Linked DNA regions of Callithrix jacchus. The protein of the gene in region 1 interacts with the protein of each later gene in a biochemical or structural test. Links are inferred from orthologs where the notes say so. Each region holds a gene or a part of one and is shown in the gene's direction. Other genes may lie near its edges.

Region 1 (3,500 bases):
GTAAAGAGTAATAAAATGTGCATAAATGTGAAATCTTCTGATCTTCCCTCCCTTGTTAAACATTGAAAAAGGAAGTCAGTTGTATAATTTCAAAACTCTGCTCATGTCTTTATTAAGTTAACATTCTCAGCACAAAATATGCTAATGTATTTTTTTAAATTACATAAACTGCCAGGCACATTTTCACATTTTCTAACTTAGCCTATAATAAAAGTGAAAAGCTCTAACACCCAAACACCGCTTTTCAGCCTTCCCAAAAACATGTTAAATTTCATTTCTATGTGCTTTTATTTGTTCATTCATTCACTCCCTCAACAAAAATTTTTGGAGCATATGAAATGTACCAGACCATATTCTAGATGCTAGATATACATAGAAAAATTCCCATGGAACTAACATTCTAGTGGTTTTATGTACCTGCATAGGCAGTGCCCTTCATGCATAGGAGTGGGGGACAGTAGGAAAAATAGGTAAGATGCATATTCTTTTGGAAGGTGGTAAGAGCTAAGGACAAAAATAAAGCAGGAAAAAGGGATTGGGACCGTTGGAGGTACTGCAATTTTTAGTAAGGTGGTTAGGGAAGGTCTTTCTGGAAAGGTAATGGCTGTTGATGATATCTCTGCATAACAAAAATGTGTTTCCTTTCAAAGTCCTGGAATGCCCTAGTAGCCCCTACTGCAAGAGTGTAGGCCACTTACCCTCCTCCTCCTAAAGTAAATTTGGGGGTTATCTTACCAATTTCCATCTGATAATTGTCTTGGCAGTGGTCTCCCCAAAGCTCTTGGTGGAAGTGACACCACCCTCCCAGTGCCTTGGTAGATGACTGCATGGCGAATCCTTCTAAGTCTTGCCTTTCTTTCACTACTGTGACAGGGCTGTAGTTTGTCAAGCTTCCAACAAGCTTTGGGACTGGGCTAAAGAGCAGGTTAGCGAAAGGACCTCTGATTGCAGGCAATTTAAAAGAGCCTTTTTTGCAAGAGCCAGAAACTTTTTAAATATGCAATTAAAAATTGTATGCATGCCCAGAGACCTTTTAAGGCCTTTTAGATATAACTAACCAAAATAACTTTTCTTCCTAGGTCCCAGGCTCCTACTGCAGGGGTGTAGGGGACTAATGTCTCCTTCTTTCTCTCTTTTTGTTTTGGATAACATTTTTGAATAGAAAAGAAACAGGGCAGGTGGAGAAGCTGTGTGTGGCAAGGACAGGGTATAAGAAGTAAGTAAAGTTAGGAGAGATGAAAGAATCTGCTCATGAAATTAGGTCTACTACTTGGGATAATCAGAGAAGTTCCAGTAAATTTCTCAGTTACAGATATGTGCCTAGTAAATCCCAAAAGAAAACATTTTGGTTTATGTTCAAAATGTTATTTGTGAATGTATCAAGAAAACTCAATAAAACCTTCGGTTTCATGTTTGGAAATTATTTAGCTGTATCTCTATCTGTTAATTTAATTTATTTTGTTTATTTACTTTTTGAGATAGAGTTTTGCTCTTGTTGCCCAGGCTGGAGTACAATACCGAGACTTGGCTCACTGCAACCTCCACCTCCTGGGTTCAAGTGATTCTCTTGCCTTCGCCTCCCAAGTAGCTGGGTTTACAGGCACTCACCAGCTCACCTAGCTAATTTTTTTTTTTTTTTTCAGTAGAGATGGGGTTTTACCATGTTGCCCAGTTTGGTCTCAAATTCCTGACCTCAGGTGGTCCCCCTGCTTTGACCACCCAAAGTGCTATGATTACAGGCATAAGCCACCATGCCCAGCCTAATATATTTTAAATAAGACAGCTGAATTTGGAGCTGTATAGCTACTGTTAGTAACTACTTTAGGATTTCGGGGTTGTTTATTTTGTTTGGTTTTGTTTGATTTGGTTTGGTTGTTTTTCGGTCTTTCTTTCTCTTTCTTTCTTTCTTTCTTTTCTTTCTTTCTTTCTTTCTTCTTTTTTCCTCCTTCCTTCTTTCTTTCTCTTTCTCTCTCTTTCTCTTTCTTTCTTCTTCCTTCCTTCCTTCCTTCTTTTCTTTCGTTTTCTCTCCTTCCTTCCTTCCTTCCTTCCTTCCTTCCTTCCTTCCTTCCTTCCCTCCCTCCCTCCCTCCCTCCCTCCCTCCCTCCCTCCCTCCCTCCCTCCCTCCCCCCTCCCTTCCCTTTCTTTCCTTTCTTCTCTGTCACCCAGGCTGGAGTGTAATGGTGCCATCTTAGCTTACTGAAACCTCCACCTCCTGGGTTCAAGCAATTCTCCTGCCTCAACCTCCTGAGTAGCTGGGATTACAGGCACCTGCCACCATGCCCAGCTAAGTTTTGTATTTTTAGTAGAAATGAGATTTCACCATGTTTGCCAGGCTGGTCTTGAATTCCTGACTTCGTGATCTGCCCACCTTGGCTTCCCAGAGTGCTGGGATTACATGAGCCGGTTTGTGTTTTTTAAACAAATATCCAAAGCTTGTTATAAACACTAAATCTTAGCCATGGACATGTGTTGGCTGTTTCACAAATTTAATAAAAGGTACAAATTAATAGGAAAAAATCAATAGAATTTAGAATTCAATTCAAAGTGATGACCCTTAATTTTGAAAATAGTCATTCTACATTTTTCTCGAATTATTATTTGTGACCATACTGTGTTTTCTGGTATTATCTGTGCATTTTTAGCCTGGATTTTCTGTTTGATTAAAACTAAAGGTTTTGCTGCTCAGTTGGTTTTTCAAGTGGAAGCGAGGCCCAAAGCAGCACATTGGAAGCCATATTGCAAAATAAAAGATAAAACAAAACAAAAGACATAAAACAGACCAATTCCATTTTCTGTGAAGGAGCTTATGACAGCTCAATTCCTGTCAAACTGCATGAATGGAAACCAAGAGGTGTGTCACCTGACAGGGTCTAATATCATCCCTCTCTTGTAGTTTCTTTTAGACCCTGGAGTTGACATACCTCTCTCCTTCAACAGTGGGGCCTAGGAACATCCTAATTCCTGAAATTAAGAGAGGACTTTCTTAAGATGCTATGTGCCCAAAGGCTCTAGAGCATAAGCTTGAAGAATGATCTATATGTTGTCTCAAATCTTGTTTAATTCTCCTTTTCACTGATGGTGACATTCTTTATGCTTTTCTTGTTTTAATGCAGGCAAACCCTTTTTTACACGAAACCCTTCTGAGTTGAAAGGCAAATTCATTCACACGAAGCTGCGGAAAAGCAGTCGTGGCTTTGGCTTCACTGTGGTTGGAGGGGATGAACCTGATGAGTTTCTCCAGATCAAGAGCTTGGTCCTAGATGGTCCTGCTGCATTGGATGGCAAGATGGAAACAGGTAGCGTCCACATGGCCTTAGTGTATTCTGTGTGGTAAGACTCCAACCCAGAACACAAATGTGTGCAATCATGTTGTTTGGTTTGAGCAAGACCAAACAATGTCGTGATTGCACATGTTTATACCTTAAAACACCTTGAGAATGAGCCAGTAAATCCATCCCTTGGGACAGATTAAAACCTGTGAAATCATTTTAACTTTGGGA
Region 2 (3,500 bases), on another chromosome or scaffold:
TTGCACAATAGGAGTTAGCTATTACTATTGTTTAGATTTTGCGGTTTGTTCTTTGTAAATCAGAATTATAGCATTTTAGAGCTAGAAGAAACCCTTGGTGATCATTTGATCTAGCACCCTTATCTTTCATATGTATACATTAAATCCTAGAGAAAGGGCAAAAGTTGGCTTGAAGTTTGGTGGCAGGTTGATGATGGACCTCTAACTTGATGAAATCCAGTATCCTGGGGCAGTGGGGTGGTACAGGATTGTGTTGCTGTTATTTTATTGTTTTGTTCTTACTTCTCTTTAATGATTCTTTACTCACATTGAAACTATTAGATTGTTTCCATTTTTATTTATGCAATGATTTTAGCATCATAGTAGATTGGCATGAATACTTTTTTCTTCTTTGCTTACCTTAACTAGCTTCCTTCCCCTTCAGAAAGATAATTCCATCACACCCAAAAGGGTAAGTCCACAGTATTAGAAATTATGCTTTTGTGTTCAACAGTATAAGACAAAAAGCTTATTGGTCTTTAATGGTTTCTTACTGTCATCTTACTCTTCTGGTAACTTTCTGTGACATTAAGACATTGCTTCCAGCAGTAGTGGAGCATGCCTCATGTTTTGAGTGCTGATTAAGTGAAGGCCCTCTGGTCCATCTACAAAGCAGTAGTGGTTGTAATAAGGTTAGCAGTATTTTTATCTTTGTTCTCTCTTGTGTTGTAGAGCCGACAATTAGAATCAGAAACTGGGACCACAGAGGAGCACAGTCTAAACAAGGAAGCTCGAAAATGGGCCACACGTGTGGCACGTGAGCATAAAAACATTGTTCACCAACAACGGGTAAGTATAAGAGAAAGTCCTAGTTACGTCCACCTTAAGCCAAATGTCAAACCAGTTTAAGAAGCTCAATTTTAGGCTGGTGTGGTGGCACAAGCCTGTAATCCCAGCACTTTGGGAGGCCGAGACGGGTGGATCACGAGGTCAAGAGATCCGGACCATCCTGGTCACCATGGTGAAACCCCGTCTCTACTAAAAATACAAAAAATTAGCTGGGCGTGGTGGTGCACGCCTGTAATCCTGGCTATTCGGGAGGCTGAGTCAGGAAAATTGCCTGAACCCAGGAGGTGGAGGTTGCGGTGAGCCCGCCATTGCACTCCAGCCTGGGTAACAAGAGCAAAACTCCGTCTCAAAAAAAAAAAAAAGAAGCTGAGCTTTATTAAATGTGAAAAATACCCTATATGTGTTTTGTTGTTGTTGTTGTTGTTGTTTTTGAGACAGAGTCTTGCTCTGTCACCCAGGTTGAAAGGCAGTGGAGTGAACATGGCTTACTGCAGCTTCAACCTCCTGGGCAGAAGCAGTCCTCACACTTAAGCCTCCCAAGTAGCTGGGACCACAGGCACATGCTACCATGCCTAGCTAATTGTTTTCAGGTGTTTTGTAGAGATAGGATCTTGCCATGTTTCCCAGGCTAGTCTCAAACTTCTTTGCTCAAGCATTATATGAGTTTTGTCAACACTCGGCAGTATGCTGGCAACTCTACTCATGTTGGATATCCTTAAGCCCTCCATCAGCAATACAATTATTCACCTGTTTACCATAAAATTGCCAAAGAAAAGCTGTGATAGTGTATTATGGGCAGGGGAAGAGACATATGTTGAATGTAGGTTTTTGTCCCTCAAAACATATTTTTTGAAGACACAATTATAGGTTTTATGAGAATATATGTTTGGCTGGGCACAGTGGCTCATGCCTGTAATCCCAGAACTTTGGGAGGCTGAGGCAGGTGGATTGCTTGAGCCAGGAATTTGAGACCAGCCTAGGCAACATGGCAAAAACCCGGTCTCTACAAAAAAAAATTTAAAAATTAGCCAGGCATGGTGGCACACACCTACCTTCCCACCTACTCAGCAGGTTGAGGTTGGGGAGGATTCTTGAGCCCAGAATGTTGGAGGTTACAGTGAGATAAGATCATGCCACTGCACTCCAGCCTGAGTGACAGAGCAAGACCCTGTCTCAAAAAAAAAAAAAAAAAGAAAACAAAACAAAGAAAGAAAATATATCTCTAAGACTAAACTCTAAGCACAAAGAAATTATTTTAAGCATAGTACTTTTTTTCTCTATTTCATTTATTGATACCTATATCCTTCTCATTCTTTGCCTTCACATCCTACTTCCTAAAAGAATTGCCTATGCTTATTCTATAGAATCTCACCGCCCACTTTCTTTTCACCCCATTACATTTGAGCTTTCCTTTCCTTTCCTTCCCCTATACTGCTTCATAATCTAAGCTTACCGAAATCACCAATGAATTCTGTGTTGCTAGCTTCAAAATGGACACTTTGATTTCTCATATTTCTTAATCTGTCAGCAGTTTCATCACAATTGACAACTCTCTTTGTCTTAAAATGATATCTTCTCTAGTCATCCACGATTCAACCTGGCTTTGTCCTGGCTTTCCTTCTGCCTTTCTGGCCATACTTAGATTTTTTTTTATAGGTTCCTCTTTCTCCATCCAACAATTAAATATTCAGTTTCTCAGATTTCTGTACTTGGTTATCTTGTTTTCTTATTCTTTACCCTCATATATGCAGTCTCGATCACTTCCATGGTTTTGCTTTACCAACAAATCATAAATTAATATCTCCAACATTGGGCCTTGCTACTGCTATATATCCATATAGTATCTTGCCTGTTTTGACATCTTCTTTTCACTATCTGACAGGCATCTCAGATGCAATGTAGCACTTATGTAATGCTGCTTAACAAACCACCTCAAACAAGAGGGTTTTTACATTATGATTATGTCTCACTAATCTGAGTATGGGGTGGCCTCAGCTTAGCAGTTTTCCCTTGGGATCTCTTATGTGGCAGCAATCAGATAGTGGCTGGTCCTGGTTATCTCACAGGCTTCCCCACTGAAGGGACTCTTTGCAGTAATTTTGCTACTAGTAAGTCTATAATTATTTCAAAATGTTCAAAAATAAATAAATGAAAAAAATATACGGTTACTAGTCACTAAAGCCTTCTGAATTACCTAAATAGTCACTTAAGGAAGATGAAAAGTAAAAAACAGTCATCATTATTGTCCCATTTTCTTTAATAGGTTCTAAATGATCTGGAGTGTCATGGAGTTGCTGTATCAGAACAAAGCCGAGCAGAGCTGGAACAGAAAATAGATGAAGCTAGAGAAAATATTCGTAAAGCAGAGGTAAAGTGGCAGCTAATTGTGGCATTTTGCCCAGATCTAATGACACTGTCACAGCTGTGATATGCACCTTTAAAACTGACTTTCTTCATACATTGAGATGAAGGTGATTCACTGTCTTCATTCATGTCCACAGTAGTATTTGTTAAGTACCTGCTCTATGGAAGGCAGTGCCTATAACACAAAGACGCTGAACGTGCTGTAAAGTTTACAGTTACGTAACATTAAACACAGATTTAAGTCACAATGAAGACACTAATTTTAAAATTTCTACAAGGTACATAATAAACCACAGAAATTAATGGTA
Region 3 (4,259 bases), on another chromosome or scaffold:
AAGCTGTTTACTTCTCAAGGACCCAATTAAAGATATTTTGTTTTTCGAGCCTGAACTGAGGACACTACAGGGGCCAAATGAGAGAAGGGGCTTGCAGTCCTGCCGCACTGAATATTCATGGCTGTGCCCCCACCCCAATATAATCCATTTCGCCAGGTTAACAACTCACTCATTTCAAAGCGATTCATTTGCCAACTCAAAAAAACACAGATACAACTTTAAATGCTTTCGGATTTTAATCCTCTGGAGTATTTATATGTGTTCTTGTCTCATCCCTCCAAAACTAATCCCAGAGTTTTGAGAATCTGGGAACTTGGGAAAAGGAGAAAACAAGCAGCAGACCAAGGAATCTGAAATGGTAGTTCATGACGTCAGCCGAAACTGACAGTACCTTTGTGTTGGTACTGACCTAGCTCAAATTACAAAATCACAAGAGTAATAAAACACAAAATACAGGTGTTATCACTGACAAGTCTAAAATGTAATTAAGCATGTTTTTTTTCCCCTCGCAGTCGTACCGTTTGCTCTGTATCTCAACGTTTCTGTCTCCCTAAGCCTCTCCCTTTATCATGAGCACACACCGTTGCATCTTGCTCACACATTCATTAGCTGGGACTGAGGAGTGAATACGATGCCAGCGGGTCCTCAGCGTTAGCTGTTAGATGCACAAACCTTCGCATCCTTTCCACTTCCACTGCACTTGAGGTTCAACAGAAGATCCCTGCAAGAACAGCGCCCAGAGAGCATTCTGAACAGATGCGCCCTTGGCTCCAGCAACCCGCTCTGCTGGGAAGTTTCCTCTAACCACTAACACCCACCTCTGATCCCCCAAGCTGTCACGACACAGGCTGGCTGGGTCGCCTCTTGACGGGGGAAGGGTTTTACACACACCCTGCTAGGCTGCCCCATGCCACAACCAAGCTCGCAGGGCAAACTCCTTCATGCCCGGCGGGCAAGCAGTCCCAGGCGCTCTGGCGCTTCCAGAACACCAAGGTCCCCTCCTCGCTCCAAGGAGCGAGCGCTCTCTGCCGCAGGGAACCCCCAGGACTGCAGGTCGAGGGGATGCTGGGGAAGCAGGGGCGCAGGAGGGAGCCTGGCGCGGGAGGCAAACGGGGCGCAGCAGCGGCTGCGGGAGCACTTGGGGGCCGCGGGAGGGGGCGGGGCCCCTCGGGGGAGCCGGGCGCGGGAGGGGGTGCGCGGAACAGGGACCTGGAACCAGCGGGCGCAGGAAGGGGCGCGTCCGCAGGAACCCGCGGGCCGCACGGGAGGCACTAGCTCCGCGATCAGCTCCGGACTCTCAGGAGCGGCTCAATTGCCAACTGGAGTGGGGTGCGGGGAGTTGGGGGGGGCAGACCCGACGGGGGCGTGCCTTTGCCCCGATTGGCTACAGGAACCTGACGCGAGGCCCCGGGGGTTGGCTTGGGGAGGTGGGAGCGGGGTGGGGTGGGTGCTGGGTGCCGGAGCTGCGGGCCCGGCGCGCTCAGAAACATGCTGAGGTCCCGGCGGCTCTTCCAGCAGCGGCAGCGGCGGCGGCGGCGGCGGCGACAGCGACAGCGCTCGGATCCGGCGGGAAAGGCGCCCGGCGCCCATGCCTCCGGCCCCGCGCCGTGGCTGTCCTGACCCGGCCGCGACCTCCCTCGGCGCACCCCGCCGCCCGGGCTCCTGGGGTGTTCCCTAGCCACTGCCCAGCCCCGCCACACCCACCGCCCCCGGCCTCCGCAGCTCGGCATGGGCGCGGGGGCGCTCGTCCTGGGCGCCTCCGATCCCGCCAACCTGTCGTCGGCTGCGCCGCTCCCCGACGGCGCGGCCACTGCGGCGCGGTTGCTGGTGCCCGCGTCGCCGCCCGCCTCGCTGCTGCCTCCCGCCAGCGAAGGCCTCGAGCCGCTGTCGCAGCAGTGGACGGCGGGTATGGGCCTGCTGATGGCGCTTATCGTGCTGCTCATCGTGGCGGGCAACGTGCTGGTGATTGTGGCCATCGCCAAGACGCCGCGGCTGCAGACGCTCACCAACCTCTTCATCATGTCCTTGGCCAGCGCCGACCTGGTCATGGGGCTGCTGGTGGTGCCGTTCGGGGCCACCATCGTGGTGTGGGGCGGCTGGGAGTACGGCTCCTTCTTCTGCGAGCTGTGGACCTCGGTAGACGTGCTGTGCGTGACGGCCAGCATCGAGACCCTGTGTGTCATCGCCCTGGACCGCTACCTCGCCATCACGTCGCCCTTCCGCTACCAGAGCCTGCTGACGCGCGCGCGGGCAAGGGGCCTCGTGTGCACCGTGTGGGCCATCTCGGCGCTGGTGTCCTTCTTGCCCATCCTCATGCACTGGTGGCGGGCGGAGAGCGACGAGGCGCGCCGCTGCTACAACGACCCCAAGTGCTGCGACTTCGTCACCAACCGGGCCTACGCCATCGCCTCGTCCGTGGTCTCCTTCTACGTGCCCCTATGCATCATGGCCTTCGTGTACCTGCGGGTGTTCCGCGAGGCCCAGAAGCAGGTGAAGAAGATCGACAGCTGCGAGCGCCGGTTCCTCGGCGGCCCGGAGCGGCCGCCCTCACCCGCCCCCGCGCCCGCGCCGCCGTCAGCGCCAGGACCCCCGCGCCCCAACGCCGCCGCCGCCGCCGCCCCCCTGGCCAACGGGCGCGCGGGCAAGCGGCGGCCCTCGCGCCTCGTGGCCCTGCGCGAGCAGAAGGCGCTCAAGACGCTGGGCATCATCATGGGAGTGTTCACGCTCTGCTGGCTGCCCTTCTTCCTGGCCAACGTGGTGAAGGCCTTCCACCGCGAGCTGGTGCCTGATCGCCTCTTCGTCTTCTTCAACTGGCTGGGCTACGCCAACTCGGCCTTCAACCCCATCATATACTGCCGCAGCCCGGACTTCCGCAAGGCCTTCCAGCGCCTGCTCCGCTGCGCGCGCAGGGCCGCCAGCCGGCGCCACGCGGCCCACGGGGACCGGCCGCGCGCCTCGGGCTGCCTGGCCCGGCCCGGTCCTCCGCCGTCGCCCGGGGCCGCGTCGGACGACGACGACGACGATGTCGTCGGGGCCACGCCGCCCGCGCGCCTGCTGGAGCCCTGGGCCGGCTGCAACGGCGGGGCGGCGGCGGACAGCGACTCGAGCCTGGACGAGCCGTGCCGCCCCGGCTTCGCCTCGGAATCCAAGGTGTAGGGGCCCGGCGCCCCGGAACGGCTTCCCGGGGGATCTCGGAGATCTGTGTTTACTCAAGACCGAAAGCAGGTGAACTCGAAGCCCACAAACCTCGTCTGAATCATCCAAGGCAAACAGAAAAGCCACGGACCGTTGCACAAAAAGGAAAGTTTGGGGAGGGGTGGGAGAGTGGCTTGCTGATGTTCCTTGGGTTGTTTTCCTTCTTCTTCTGTTTGTGGTCCGGCCTTCTTTTGTGTGTGCCTGTGATGCATCTTTAGATTTTTCCCCCCAGGTGGTTTTTGACTCCACGAGGATGGGAGTGGAAGCTGGGTGGGCAGGGGAAGGGAGAAGAAGCATTAGGAGGGGATTAAAATCCGATCAACCTGGCTCCCGACCCTGTCCCAGGAACAGGGGCAGTCTACCAGCCAGAGAGAGGAGAATGACAGTTTATCAAGGCATATTTATTTCCTTTTGCTTTCCAGAGAAATTTCATTTTAATTCCTAAGTAATGGTTTCCGCTGTTATGAAAGCGAAAAGGATGGATGCAAAAAAAAAAAAAAAATCACGTTTCAAGAAATGTTAAGCTCTTCTTGGAACAAGCCCCAATTTGCTTTCCTTGTGTAGGGCAAACCCTCTGATCCCCCGCGCGCCTGGATGGTCAGGCTACGGGATTTCTACCTCACACTGTGCATTTGCACAGCAGATAGAAAGACTTGTTTATATTAAACAGCTTATTTATGTATCAATACTAGTTGGAAGGACCAGGCGCAGAGCCTCTCTCTGTGACATGTGACTCTTGTCAATTTAAGACAGGACATGAAAAGAGAGAGAGAGACAGTTTTGATTACTGCACATGTGGATAAAAACAAAAACAAAAAAAGGAGTGGTTCAAAATGCCATTTTTGCACAGTGTTAGGAATTACAAATTCCACAGAAAACATTACTTGCACAAAAAGAAGTTAAATATTTTTTAACTGGGGAAGTGGTGGGCAGATCTTAAAAACTAAAATAAAATTCAAGCTCTACTTCTGTTGTCTAGTATGTTATAGAGCTAATGATTTATTGGGAAAATACCTTTTTATACTCCTTTATCATGGTACTGTAACTGTATCCATATTATAAAT
Region 4 (4,252 bases), on another chromosome or scaffold:
TGATTGGTTAGTTCAGATGAGCTCTGATTGTTCAATTCGGGTCAACTGTGACAATCCCAAAGGCCTGTGGGTGAGTGAGAGCAGGTGTGACCTCTAGTCAGCAGATAGCCCTTGGCCCTGTTTAAAATTTAGGCCCAGTTAGCCACTTGGGATCTGCCTTGAGGAATTGCTCTTTCAGGTTTATTTTTGCTCATAATCTAAATATCTGCATCCTATGAAGCTCTGTCTGGGTGGAGACCGACTCCCCAAATATTAAGAACATTTCTGTATTCTTACACTCTAACTGCTACAAAGCAATATTTTCTTCTTTAATTTTTGGAGACGGATGGGGAAGGTAGAACAGAAGTGGTTCTTCACTAAGGTCATCTTACTCCCTAATTTCTTACTCATTTCAAAATTAAAACATTTCCCCCTCATGTTATAAAAGGTACTGCAAGTTCAGTATGTCCTTATTAAAAAAAATTAAATGCAAAAAATAAAAATGTTGAATACCGAAAGTCTAACCATTTAGAGACATTTTAATACATTGACTTTTCCTTTGTATAATCTCTTGTCATTTATAACTTTGAATATACTGAATATACCTCTATGCTTCATGTTTTTATTTCAAATTACAGTATACCATTCTATTACACACTTCACACTTCATTTTTGTTGGCTGAAAATATTCTTCTCAGTAGATAAGCTGAGTTAGCAATTTCCCTATCATTGTTTATTTAGGATGTCTTAAATGTTTATATTATAAACAACATCATTAATAGCTTCATCTTTATATAATTTTAATTTTTAGTATAAATTTCTAGAAGTGGAATTATAGTGCCAAAGGAGAAGCTATTTTTAAAGTCTTTGACACATATTAAGCAATATTTAAAATCAAAGAATGTGTGATTTAACCATTTTTTTTTTACTTGAGGTAGTCCTTTATGTTGTGTCTTTTGATGACTTTTTACAAGCAGAGGATGAAGTCACTTCATTCTGTTTTGCTAGGGAGAGACTGTGTCTTCCTTATTGGAAGACATGAGGGCTCATAGTTAGATTTTGCTGGTTTCCTAGAGACAGCCCTGGGGAACATACCTGCATAATCTTTGGTAATTGGAAATATATTTCATATGGCCACGTGCACAATAATTTAGTGTGTATATGGCCAATAAACGAGCCTTGTTTACAGGTCATTACTTTCAATCTCCCTTCTCCCCAAATGCTGAGAAAGAACTGGTGACTTAAAATGCTTCCAGTCCCTTTGCCTTGGCCTGTAGTGAAAGTCCTAATGGACAATGAAGGAGGAACCGGACCTTGGGGACTGAGGGATGCGGTAAAGAGTTAAGGGTAAGTTTTCCTAGATTTTTCTCGTGGCAGGTGTATCCCGGTAGCGGCGGAGGGGCGGGACTTCACGTCTCCTAGGAACCGCTGCGCGCTCACTGATTGGCTGATCGCTGCGCAGCCGCCATTTTCAAATCCCCGGATGACGGCGGTGGCGGCGGCTGTGCGCTGACAGGCGCTTTCTGCCTGGCAGAGGCTGGCGGGCATCGTGCCCGTCCCTGCCGGTCTCCCGGGCACCCGGCCACCGCCCCACCCCCCTCCTCTGTGCCATGGAGCCCGAGCTGGCGGCTCAGAAGCAGCCTCGGCCGCGGAGGCGAAGCCGCCGGGCCTCTGGGCTCAGCACGGAGGGAGCGGCGGGGCCTTCAGCCGACACCTCCGGGCCGGAGCCGGACGGGAGGTGAGTGTGGGGGAGGGGAAGGCCGGACGGGAGGCGAGGGCAGGGGCGAGGTGAGGGCCGGCCGGGAGTTGGGTGTGGGGGTGGTGAGGGGCAGGGGGAGGCGAGGGCCGCTGGAAGGTGAGGGGGGAAATGGGGAGGTGAATGCAGCGTGTGTGTCGGGGTACCTGGGCCGCTGGAGGGAAGGGTGGCCCAGGCCTGAGTGACGGTGTGCCTGGTCTTGGACTGAGATGGGACCTGAGACCCCAAATTGCGATTTCCCTGCCCGGTGGGAAAGGGACTGCCTTGAGTCTCCTCTCCTCCTGACTGCTCCTCTGGGGAGACGGGGAACGCCACAATGGTTTTGTTCTCCACACACAACTGGCTGTAGGCTGGAGTTCCCAGGTACCTTTGCTCAGACCGAAACTGTCAGGGAGCATCACGAGAATGGGCTCCATGTCCTGAGAAAGGAAAGGCTAGGGGATGAGTTGGCTTCGGAATATGGGTCATGAGGTGCCTATGGGAGAGTTCGTCACAACCAGCCTCGTGTTTTTTCTTTTTGCTTTTGTGGAAGTACACATTGAAGTGAGACTGTATGACTCGTGTTTGGCTCAGTGAAATTTCGCAGAGCGAACCCACCTGTGTAAATCAGTTATACATCTGGGAATTGTCAGCAAAAGACTTGAAATCGAAGGTCATCTTAGACTGTGAGTATAAAGGACGAAGGGTTTGAGGACCAAACCCTGAGGCTCTCCCGGCGTTTAAAAGCCGAGGTAATAATGCTGGAGGTAGCTGTTGAGTTAGGAGGAAGAAATCAAGTGAGAATAGGATCCAGGAGGCCAAATGGAGAAAGGATTCCGAGAAAGAGGACGTGGGGAGCTGTGTCAGGTGTTCCTGATAGGTCAAATAAAAGGATTAAGTAAAAATGAGGATTAGGCTAGATGAGGAATTGAAATTAAATTTGGTAATGAAAAGAGAGTATTGATTGTAGATGGTTTCCAAGAGTGGTTAGAATATCGAACTTAGAGTGCTTTGCAACAGGTTGAGAAGAGAATGTTCGATTTGTTCAGGAAATAATGCGAGTGCCGACACTAGGAATATGGAAATGGAAAATACTGTTCTTACTATTTAAGATTTATAATCTAGTGGGAAGAAAGATAAGTAGGTTAATTATTATAACGTGTTTTAAGAGTTATTGTAGTGGTGTACACAGAATGCGGTACATTAGAGAGAACACTTAATCCTGGCTGGAGAGAACAGGAAATGATTTCCTATTGCAATCCCTGAGTTTGAGGACCAGTTTAGAGAGCAGATGTAAATGGGTGATTTTCAGGCAGAGAAGCAGCTTGTAGAAAGGCCCTGAAGCAAATGGGTCTGATGAGTTCTGGGTGTATATTCTGTTTTATTACTGTATTAATACTAGTTGTATAGAGGAGGGAGACCAATATAGGGATAAGGAGGAGGTAGTCATGAGCGATTATGCTAAAGAGGTGAAAGCCACATCAGGAAGGGGCCTTGTATGCCATCACAGAGTTTGGGGGTTTATCTTCACGGTAATGCGGAAATACTGAAAGGCTTTAAACAAGCCAATGGCATGATGTATTTGCATTTTAAAAGATCAGTTTGTCTTCCATGAGAAAAATAAGCAACATTTTGGAGTCATCTCACCATTCATATTTTACGAAAACTGTTCCCCAAAAACATGCTCATATACATACAAATTTCAGGAGATTTGTGGATCCAGCTGTGTATACCAAATAAAAATTTTCAAGTTTAGAAGGTGAATTGGTAGGAAATCAGTCTGCAGTAGTCTAAATGAAAAAATGACTGTTCAAATCTGATAGCTGGCAGTGGGATTGGTGAAGAGAAGTTTCACTGTGATACCCCTGTGCCATTACCATACTGTATCGATTACTGTTGCTTTGTATAATAAGTTTTGAAATTGGGAAATATGAGTCCTCCTACTTTGTTCTTTTTTTCTCAAGATTGTTGTGGCTATCCTGGGTCTCCTGCAATTCTATGTGAATTTTAGAATCAGCTTAACAGTTTTTACAAAAGAATCCAATGGGATTCTAATAGGGATTGCATTACATCTTGTAGATCATTTTCAAATGTATTCCCCTCTACACAGGGTTAAGTAGTCTCATCCATGGACAAAGGATGTTTTTCCAATTATTTAGATCTTTAATTATTTTCAACAGTGTTTTGTAATTTTCAGGGTATAGTTTTGCACATTTTGCTAAATGTATTCCTATTTTGTTCTTTTTGATGCTGTTGTAAATGGAATTAATTTCTTTTGAAATGGGAAAAGTTCCCTTGTCCCCCTTGCAGGGCATGCACTGGGGGTATGCTCGCTGCTTCAGTGCCCTGCTGTTCAAACCTCTAGGGGAACAAATATACAAGCAGGCAGTAGGACTCCAACCCCATGGGGGTGTCTGGGGGTGAATGTTTACAGCTGAAGCCCCAGTGGGCGTTTGTTACAGGGTACTCTTAGTTTAGCCATCTATAGGTGGCTTGTGTTCATCAGCTCAATTAGACCCCGGCCTCATTGCAAGGACA
Region 5 (4,201 bases), on another chromosome or scaffold:
ATGATTTGCCTATCTTGGCCTCTCAAAGTGCTGGAATTACAGGTGTGAGCCACTGTGCCAGCCAATTGGGCTTTTATTGGAGGAGAATGAATATCTATGGTGATTGCTTGTAGAATTAAATGTTGTTTCAAGCTTTTTGCCCCCTAAAGATGAGAATGATAATATAATATGTGTAGACTGTGAGTTCCGTGAGTTCTAATTGAGATAAATAAAATATTAGAAATAGGATCCCAGGCCCAGGAAGAACCTTGTCTTCAGAGGAGCAACCTTGGTCCCAGCCCCTCTCCACAGCTGCATGAAGAAGCTGCACAGAAAACCCTCACCCTCACCCCCAGTTCTGGAGTGTGAAGGTAAGATCTACATCGTCCTGGTGATAGTCATTGTTGGAGAACTCTGGGACATGCAGGAAATAGATCCAGGGCCTCTTCCTTTTTATTGACACAGCAGCAGCAGTTTGGAGCTTTCCAGGAAGACCTACTTTTTATTTCCCCCAAGTTTCAATATTTGGGGCACTTGTGGGAACTAGAGATGGGGTGAGGTTTGGCTCTTGGCACTAGGCTAGAGTTGGGCTTGAAAGGGATGGGGAAGGGCGCTAGAATCAGTGGTCTTCAGAGTTGAAGGAGATCTTGGGTGAGGGGATAGCAAGAACCAGGGCCTGTCTTTCCCATGGCCATGGGGCAGCAGAAGGCACAAGGAGAACAGCGTATGTAGGGCTGTGTTGGAGATGGTTAGGGAGCTCTCCAGACCCTGCTCTGGGTTCCAGGCCTGGTGTGACAGTGACTAGCTGTGTGCCATGACCACGCTGCTCAACAAGTCTGTGCCTCTGTTTCTTCATGGGTGTCATGAAGGGACTGGACTCCCTGTTTGTTTAGGTCTGTTCAGTTCCAGCGAACGAACTACAAACAAGCAAAAAAACCAAGCCTGCCTTGTTTATTTTCAAGAAAGCATTTGCTAATTTCTTTCCAATACAGCCAGTTCCCTTATTTACCATTTTGTGCTCCTCTCAGGCCCCAAAATAGTGCTTTTTATTTTTAGAGATAAGCAAATAGTTCAGTTTGACTGGAGCATGGGAAGAAAGTGGGAAAGCAACTGATAGGAATAGAACTTGAAAGGAAATCTGGGGTTGGACTATGAAGGCCAAATTACTCCTAGACGTGGGCATAAGAACACATTGTCCTGGTGCCATTCTTTGACCAGAGAGAACTAGCCCCTTGGGACAGAAAAGGGCTGAATGAGGACCAGACACAGATTAGAGCTCTCCCTGATCCTCATCCAACCCCTTTCTTGACCCGAGGGGGCTGGGAGTCTGTGGGGCTAAGGGACACTTCCTTGTTTGTACTGTGCTCTGGATACTTGGGAAGTCCCCAGCCAAATGTCCTCAAATGCTATGAGCTGTTCCCTAGTTGCATCAGAGCATAAAGTTTGTATAGCCCTACGTCCTACAGGTGGCCAAGAGCAGCTGCTTTCAGGCATTGGGGACAAGGACATGAGGGCTAGAATTCCCCATGCCTAAGTGTGGAGCTCCTCATACGTGGGAGGGAGCTGGGAGTGGGAAGAGGACGAGGACAGCTGCAGGCTTTACCAGCTCTTCTGAGGTGGCCACATTCCAGCCCAGACCTCAAACACAAAGGAGTCTGAGAAGTGAGTACAAATGTATAGTATGGGGATCTGACAATTTAGAAATGAATATTTAATGCTACAAAAAAGTAGTGATGGTGGGCAGGGCATGGTGGCTCAGGCCTATAATCCTAGCACTTTGGAAGGGTGAGGTGGGCAGATTAAAAGGTCACGAGTTTGAGACCAGCCTGGCCAATATGGTGAAACCCCGTCTCTACTAAAAATACAAAAATTAGCTGGGCATGGTGGCGCGTGCCTGTAGTCCCCGCTACTCAGGAGGCTGAGGCAGGAGAACTGCTGGAACCCAGGAGGTGGAGGTTGCCGTGAGCTGAGATCGTGCCACTGCACTCCAGCCTGGGCAACAGAGCAAGACTCCATCTCGGGGGAAAAAAAAAAAAGAGTAGTGCTAGTGATAAGCTCTACAAAACAGACTACAGCAGAGTTAGGGGGAGTATATGTGTGGATAACTATTTTAGAAAGGGAGGCCAGTGAAGTCTTGTGGGAGGTAGTGGCCCTTAAGTAGAGAGTTAAGTGGAGTGAGGAAGACAGGGCAAAGGCATCTCAGCACAGGGACTTGGACCAGCAGCAGGGAAGGCCATGTGGCTAGGGTCATACATGCATAAGAAGGGCCAATCAGGTTGGGCTTTTGCAGATCATGGTAAAGATTTTTATTTTGAATAATGTGTGTGCTCCTTTTTACCAGCCATGAATGCTATCCATTTGTTTATGTGATTAACTCATCAAAGTTTATAAAAGTTATTTATTACTCTTTAAGGAAGAGAGGTGTTTATTTTGAGAATCGTGGGAAGTCACTGCAGGGTTTTTAAGCAAGGGAATGAACGATATGACCTGCTCTTTAAAAGCATCACTGTAGCGCAGTAGAGCAGTGAGAGTAGAAACAGGAAAGCAATTAGGGTGTTACTGTAGCGTTCTTTTTCCTTTTTCTTTTCTTTTGAGACAGAGTCTCACCCTGTCCCCCAGGCTAAAATGCAGTGGCACGATCTCGACTCATTGCGACCTCTGCCTCCCGGGTCTAGCAATTCTCCTGCCTCAGCCTCCCAAGTAGCTGTTATTACAGGCACCTGCCACCTTGCCCATCTAATTTTTGTATTTTTAGTAGAGATGAGATTTCACCATCTTGGTCAGCCTGGTCTCAAACTCCTGACCTCAGGTGATCCACGGACCTCAGCCTCCCAAAGTACTGGGATTACAGGCTGTGCCTGGCCCTCTTTTTCTTTTTTTTTTTTTTTGCTTTTAATATTGATGTCAGTATTTCTTTTTTTTTTTTTTTAATTTTTATTTATTTATTTATTTATTTTTTTTTAGGGAAAAAGAGAAAAAGAAGGGGAAAAAAAGAAAAAGAGGGAAAAAGGAATATTACTTCATTCCTAAAATGGGTTTCAATAATGGCCGATCAATATTTTGAGTGTTTAAAGTGGTTAATGCATATTTTATGTGTTTAAAATGGAGACCTCTGTTGTGTTTATTTGTTCTGGTTCTGAGTTCAAGTCCTGGATATCTTATCAATTTGTTGTCTCGTTGAATCTAAATCTCATTATGTGTCTTATGTATCTGGGTGTTAAGATCTCTTATTGTTGTATTAATCCTTTTACCCTTGCATCCTTGTAGCTTTGAAATCTATTTTATTAAGTGTGAGAATTGCAACTCCTGCTTTTTATTTATTTATTTTTGCTCTCCATTTGGTTGGTGAGCTTTTTTCCATCCCCTTGTTTTGAGTCTTTGTATATCTTTAGATATATCGTTAGATTTTGTGGATAATGAATATTTTGTGTGTTTAAAATGGAGAGCCCTATTGAGTTTATTTGTTCTGGATCTTAGTTCCAGTCCCGGATATCGTTATCAATTTTCTGTCTCGTTGAATCTAAATCTCATTATGGGTCTTATGTATCTGGGTGTTAAGATCTCTTATTATTACATTAATCCTTTTATCCTTGTATCCTTGTAGCTTTGAAATCTATTTTGTCAAATGTGAAAATTGCAACTCCTGCTTATTTATTTATTTTTGCTCTCCATTTGGTTGGTACGTTTTTTTTTTTTCCAACCCTTTATTTTGAGTCTATGTATATCTTTGGATATACCGTTAGATTTTGTCTGTATCTTTTGATTGGGAGGTTTGGTCGATTTAAATTTAGGGTTGCTGCCGTTTGATATTAACTGGCTATTTTGTCCTTTCATTGATAAAAATTCTTCTTTATGTTAATGCTCTTTACTTTTTGGTGTATTTTTAGAAAGGGTCATACTGGTTGTTCCTTTCTGTGTATAGTGCTTCTTTTAGAAGTTCTTGTAAAGCAGGCCTGGTGGTAATAAAATCTCTGAGTACTTGCTTGTTCCTAAAAATTTTTATTTTTCCTTCAAATGTAAAGCTTAAATTGGCAGGATATGAAATTCTGGGCTGAAAGTTCTGTTGATTAAGTATATTGAATATTGGCCCCCACTCTCTTCTAGCTTGTAGGGTTTCCGTTGAGAGATCTGCTGTAAGCCTAATAGGCTTACCTTTATGGGTAACTTGATCTTTCTCTCTGGCTGCCCTTAATATTTTCTCCTTCGTTTCGATCTTGGTGAA
Region 6 (4,201 bases), on another chromosome or scaffold:
CCTCCTAAAATGACTCCAGCCCCAAATGAAGGCCAGTGGACCCATGAACATGCTGGCTCTTGCCCACTGTGCTGAGAAGTGGGTGGGAGGGAGTAGTAGGGTGGGCATAGCAGTGCACAGGATGCAGGGCAGGTGGGTTCAGTTTGATTTCAAAGCCGATTGCCCGCGCCTCAGGTGCTTTGGTGTACCCTATAAGGATTGCATAGGCCAGGCAGCCTAGGCTCTGCGGGTGAAGATTTCTCTACCTCCCAGTGACTCCTCTTCTCCCTTATCAGCTCTGATAGGAGAGAGGAAGAGGGAAGAGGACGTCAAAAGTTCTGTTCATCCGGAAGGGCTGGGAGTTACTTCCTGGGATGGGGAGCTCGTGAGCCAATCCAGAAGACGACCACGGGGTCTGGCGGGAGCCCCAACGCTGCCCTGAAGACTCGGCCGGGAGGGGGCGCTGTGGCCTCCCCACCCCCAGCCCGCAGGCTCCTAGCCGGGTTCGCCGCGCTGCAACGCAATCCGCACCTGGCTTTACCCAGGGCTGCGTTCAGTGCCCACTTGTCCTGCAGGGCACCGCCGTCTCCCTTTCATCTTGGGGCTCCCGGGTCCAAAAGGTTCCCAGATCCAGCCCCTTGCCTGAACCAAAGTGGGCAGGCACTCAGATTGTAAGATGAACGAATGAACGAAGGAACGAACTAATGAATAAGGGCTCATCCTGCAGAACGTTCGCGTCTCAGCGCGCACTAGGCACGTCAATGCCAAAGGTGCTGGGAGTCGGGCTCGGAGCCCGGCGCGGCTGGAGTGGGGGCGGCGAGGAGCTCCCGCTAGCCAGCTGCAGGGCGGGAACTGCCCAAACGCAGGTCGCAGCTTCCCCGGGTTCTGCGGCGGCTTCGCTCAGTGGGGACCGCCCTGTTCCACCGCCACCAATAGCCTCGCCCTCATAAATTCACCTGAGCACCCCCGCCCAAGTGCCCCCGGCTCCCCTGGACTTCCCAGGCCCGGACCTCTGCCCGGCGGGAGGTAGGAGGCTGCATCCTCTCCTGCCACCCCCTCGCCCATCCCGGGCTTCTCCCCGGGCTGCGGCGGCCGCCACCGCCGCAAGCACGCCCGGAGGACTGCCGCAAACCCGGGCGTAGGGAAAGGGGATCCTGGCGGCGGGGCGCAGGCGGCGGGCCAGGGGAAGAGGAGGGAGCGGGGAAGGAGCCGAGGGGCGAGGGGCAGGGAGGGAGCCGAGGGGCGAGGCGCGGAGGAGGGACCGAAGGGGAGGAGAGAGGAGGGGAGGGGAGAGGGAGAGGGAGAGGGAGAGGGAGAGGGAGAGGGAGAGGGAGAGGGAGAGGGAGAGGGAGAGGCGGGGGGGAGGGGGAGGGGAAAGGGGAGGGAGGGGACAAGCTGGGCGAGGGGGCGGGGAGCCAAGGCGAGGAGCCGCGCGGACCTTGCGGGAGGCGGCAGGGGCTAGGCTGGCAAGAAGCGGCCTCCCGCCGGGCTGAGTCGGGAAACGGCGGCCAGACTTCCCCGGGAAGGGGCGAGCGAGAGCCGGCCGGGCCGGGCTGCGGGGACGGGGAGCGCGGAACCGGGCGCCTCCTCACGGGGCAGCCACCGAGGAGTCCGGCCGCCCACCGCGTGCTGCCCGAGCCCGCAGCAGCCCGCCGGCCCCTCTGGGATGCCTGGGGGACCCGGGCGTTCAGGACAGTAACCGAGCGAGCCGGAGGATGGGACGGCACCCGCAGCTCCGGCTTGTCAAGGTAAGAGCCCGCCGGCCCGCCCTCCAGCGCGAGCGCCCCCAGCCCCGGGCAGACGCGGGACAGGCCGGGCTGTGGGTGCGATGGAGGAGGGGGCGCCAGGAGAGCGGCAGTCAGGTCGGGGAAGGCTGGGCTCTGGGGCAGCCTAACTCTCTGGACCTTTGGAGCCAGGGTTTGGTGGGCAGGGGGAGACTCAGGTGAGAAAAGAAATCGTGGCTGAGCCGCCGGGATGTTGGCGGAGGAGGGGTCTGCCCACTCGGGTAGCCGTTTCCGCGCCAAGAATCGCTCTAGGCTTTGGGGCAGACGCTGGGTTCCGCCTCCCACGCCCTCCCTGCAGACCCCGGCCCCAGGACGGGAGGCTCTGAAGCGGGGTTCCCCGCCTCGCCCCAGCACCTTCTCATAGCTCCCCGACTCCGCCCGCCCCCGCCCCAGTCCCGGGAGCGCATCCTGCTCCTTCTCCTCGGCTGCAAGCTGCGAGTCCAGGGAGATTAATGCGGCCCGCGCCTGCGAACCCTTGATCAATATCGCAGTCTCGGGGGAGGGGACCGTGCCTCCGGCGGCGGTTACCATTCCCTCGCCGCGGCCCGGGAGCGCAACACTCGCTCTCCGAGCCTGGGCACCGAGATCCCCGCGCTGCGCAGCCTACCCTGCGACGCGGATCGGTCGCTGGAGTTTAGGAAAGTCGCCAGACCTTACGTCCAGCGTCTGCCCGCTGAACTTCGTGGGCGGCGGGGGCGGCCCAAGGGCCGTGTGCGCCCGGGAAGGGCCGGGAGGCCGGCAGTCCGGCCCGCCCCTAGTGCCAGGCGTCACTTGCAGCCCCGAGCGCTTTCCACAGCGTTCTGGTCTTGCAAGGTGTAGGCGCGCCCGCTGCAGCCGGCCGGAGGGGCGGGTGGGCCTCTGCGCGGCTGCCGGGAAACCCCGTGCCGCACCCGCCTGGGCACGGCCTCGCCCGGGGCTCGGGATCCCTCAGGGTCCGCTTCAGCCACAGACGTAGACGCCAGCCTGACCCGGTTCGGGGCATTCAAAGCGATTACATTAAAGAGACTTTGGTGGATTTGGGGGAGGGGTGCGGATTGGCGGAATTTCATTTTTCCATCAGTTATTAAACCAACTGTACGTATAGCGGCTTACCAAGTGGTTTGAGTTAAAGCACCAAGATTTTTTAATGAGACGTTACAAGTTACTGAGATTTTTCTCTAATCCTGCCCCTCCCCAGATATTTATAAGTTGATTCTTGAAATGACTGAGGGTTGGTCTCATTGAACCCACATCCCCTCCCCTGTCTGTTACCTGAGGGCTAGAGATGAACTCAGAGATTATTTTCTGGGCGTTCAAGGAGACAGACGGATGAGGAAGGTGAAGAAAAACATCCAGAGAGGTCGAATAGGTGGCACTGAATGGGAATATTTTCCAAAAGTCTTGTGTGTATCGAAGCCTGGTCTAAATGCACAAACCAGTTAGACCAAATTCAGTCTTTTGAACGGATTCAAAGGATTGAAATGTGGGTGTTTTTGTTTTTTTTTTTTTTCCAGTTTACACTGAAATAGATCAATGTTCTTTTTCTGGCCTTCTTTAGAGTTGTGTGCAAATCTCTGTTTAGAATGATCATGTTTTTCTTTAAAAAAAAAAAAAGGGGAGTCTTTTTATTTCTGTTATTCCTACCAGATAGTGGGGTGTGTGCTCTTTATGACTGGCCTAATAAACTCAGTCAGCACTCAGTAAATACCAAATGAATGAGGCTGAGCCAGGGAATGGCCAGCGAATGCTGGTTTCAAAGCTGGTTTCTATTAAATAGTTGCTTTTTTCTTTTACTTATGTAGCATGTACAATTCACTGGGCATTATTCTACCTGCTTTGCAAATATTAAGTCATTGAGTCCTCCTAACAGCCCTAGAAAGTAGGAATTATTCCTGAGACACAGAGAGGCTAAGTAACTGGTTCAGGGTCACAGAGCCAGTGAATAGTGAAGTCAGAATTCAAACCTGGGCACTCTGATATAAGGCTTTGTTTTGTTTGCTTTTACCAGAAAATATCTTTTTTTTTTTCTTTTTTTTGGGATAGGGTCTCACTCTGTCACCCAGGTTGGAGTGCAGTGGTGTGATCTCAGCTCACTGAAGCCTCAACCTCCCTGGGCTCCAGTAATCCTCCCACCTCAACCTCCAGAATAGCTGGAACCATAGGCATGCACCACCACACCCAGCTAATTTTTGTATTTTTTATAGAAGTGGGGTTTCACCATATTGCCCAGGCTGGTCTCCAAACTCCTGGGCTCAAGCGATCAGCCAACCTCGGACTCCCAAAATTCTAGGATTACAGACGCGAGCCACTGTGCCCAGCCATTACCAGAAAATATGTTAAGCCCCTTAAACCTCACCCTAGATCTTAGCCAGATGAGAGCCCAGGTAGTTTTGCCAGCATGAGAGTATAAATCTAGGGACTTAGTGTTCATCCCAAATCCAGCGCTGTCCCCAGCAAGT

Evidence for each region.
Region 2: the proteins of MAGI1 (region 1) and FCHSD2 form a complex in vitro, tested with the Homo sapiens proteins (2 studies listed by BioGRID and IntAct, with this or other methods). The link is inferred for Callithrix jacchus from reciprocal best matches to the Homo sapiens genes MAGI1 and FCHSD2.
Region 3: the proteins of MAGI1 (region 1) and ADRB1 interact in a test that uses a peptide from one of them, tested with the Homo sapiens proteins (2 studies listed by IntAct). The link is inferred for Callithrix jacchus from reciprocal best matches to the Homo sapiens genes MAGI1 and ADRB1.
Region 4: the proteins of MAGI1 (region 1) and NET1 form a complex in vitro, tested with the Homo sapiens proteins (3 studies listed by BioGRID and IntAct, with this or other methods). The link is inferred for Callithrix jacchus from reciprocal best matches to the Homo sapiens genes MAGI1 and NET1.
Region 5: the proteins of MAGI1 (region 1) and CYSLTR2 interact in a test that uses a peptide from one of them, tested with the Homo sapiens proteins (2 studies listed by IntAct, with this or other methods). The link is inferred for Callithrix jacchus from reciprocal best matches to the Homo sapiens genes MAGI1 and CYSLTR2.
Region 6: the proteins of MAGI1 (region 1) and CRHR1 form a complex in vitro, tested with the Homo sapiens proteins (2 studies listed by BioGRID and IntAct, with this or other methods). The link is inferred for Callithrix jacchus from reciprocal best matches to the Homo sapiens genes MAGI1 and CRHR1.

What each region holds. Positions count from the first base shown.
Region 1 is NC_133516.1:47,220,106-47,223,605, reverse strand, and holds part of MAGI1 (membrane-associated guanylate kinase, WW and PDZ domain-containing protein 1), read left to right. Parts: intron 1-3,113; coding exon 3,114-3,296; intron 3,297-3,500. UniProt on the Homo sapiens protein: Plays a role in coupling actin fibers to cell junctions in endothelial cells, via its interaction with AMOTL2 and CDH5. May regulate acid-induced ASIC3 currents by modulating its expression at the cell surface.
Region 2 is NC_133511.1:68,060,848-68,064,347, forward strand, and holds part of FCHSD2 (F-BAR and double SH3 domains protein 2), read left to right. Parts: intron 1-711; coding exon 712-828; intron 829-3,091; coding exon 3,092-3,196; intron 3,197-3,500. UniProt on the Homo sapiens protein: Adapter protein that plays a role in endocytosis via clathrin-coated pits. Contributes to the internalization of cell surface receptors, such as integrin ITGB1 and transferrin receptor.
Region 3 is NC_133513.1:106,982,712-106,986,970, forward strand, and holds the start of ADRB1 (beta-1 adrenergic receptor), read left to right. Parts: upstream 1-1,459; 5' UTR 1,460-1,728; coding exon 1,729-3,156; 3' UTR 3,157-4,259. UniProt on the Homo sapiens protein: Beta-adrenergic receptors mediate the catecholamine-induced activation of adenylate cyclase through the action of G proteins. This receptor binds epinephrine and norepinephrine with approximately equal affinity.
Region 4 is NC_133508.1:8,367,048-8,371,299, reverse strand, and holds the start of NET1 (neuroepithelial cell-transforming gene 1 protein), read left to right. Parts: upstream 1-1,452; 5' UTR 1,453-1,589; coding exon 1,590-1,717; intron 1,718-4,252. UniProt on the Homo sapiens protein: Acts as a guanine nucleotide exchange factor (GEF) for RhoA GTPase. May be involved in activation of the SAPK/JNK pathway Stimulates genotoxic stress-induced RHOB activity in breast cancer cells leading to their cell death.
Region 5 is NC_133502.1:67,304,573-67,308,773, reverse strand, and holds the start of CYSLTR2 (cysteinyl leukotriene receptor 2), read left to right. Parts: upstream 1-1,401; 5' UTR 1,402-1,641; intron 1,642-4,201. UniProt on the Homo sapiens protein: Receptor for cysteinyl leukotrienes. The response is mediated via a G-protein that activates a phosphatidylinositol-calcium second messenger system.
Region 6 is NC_133506.1:86,534,854-86,539,054, forward strand, and holds the start of CRHR1 (corticotropin-releasing factor receptor 1), read left to right. Parts: upstream 1-1,401; 5' UTR 1,402-1,694; coding exon 1,695-1,727; intron 1,728-4,201.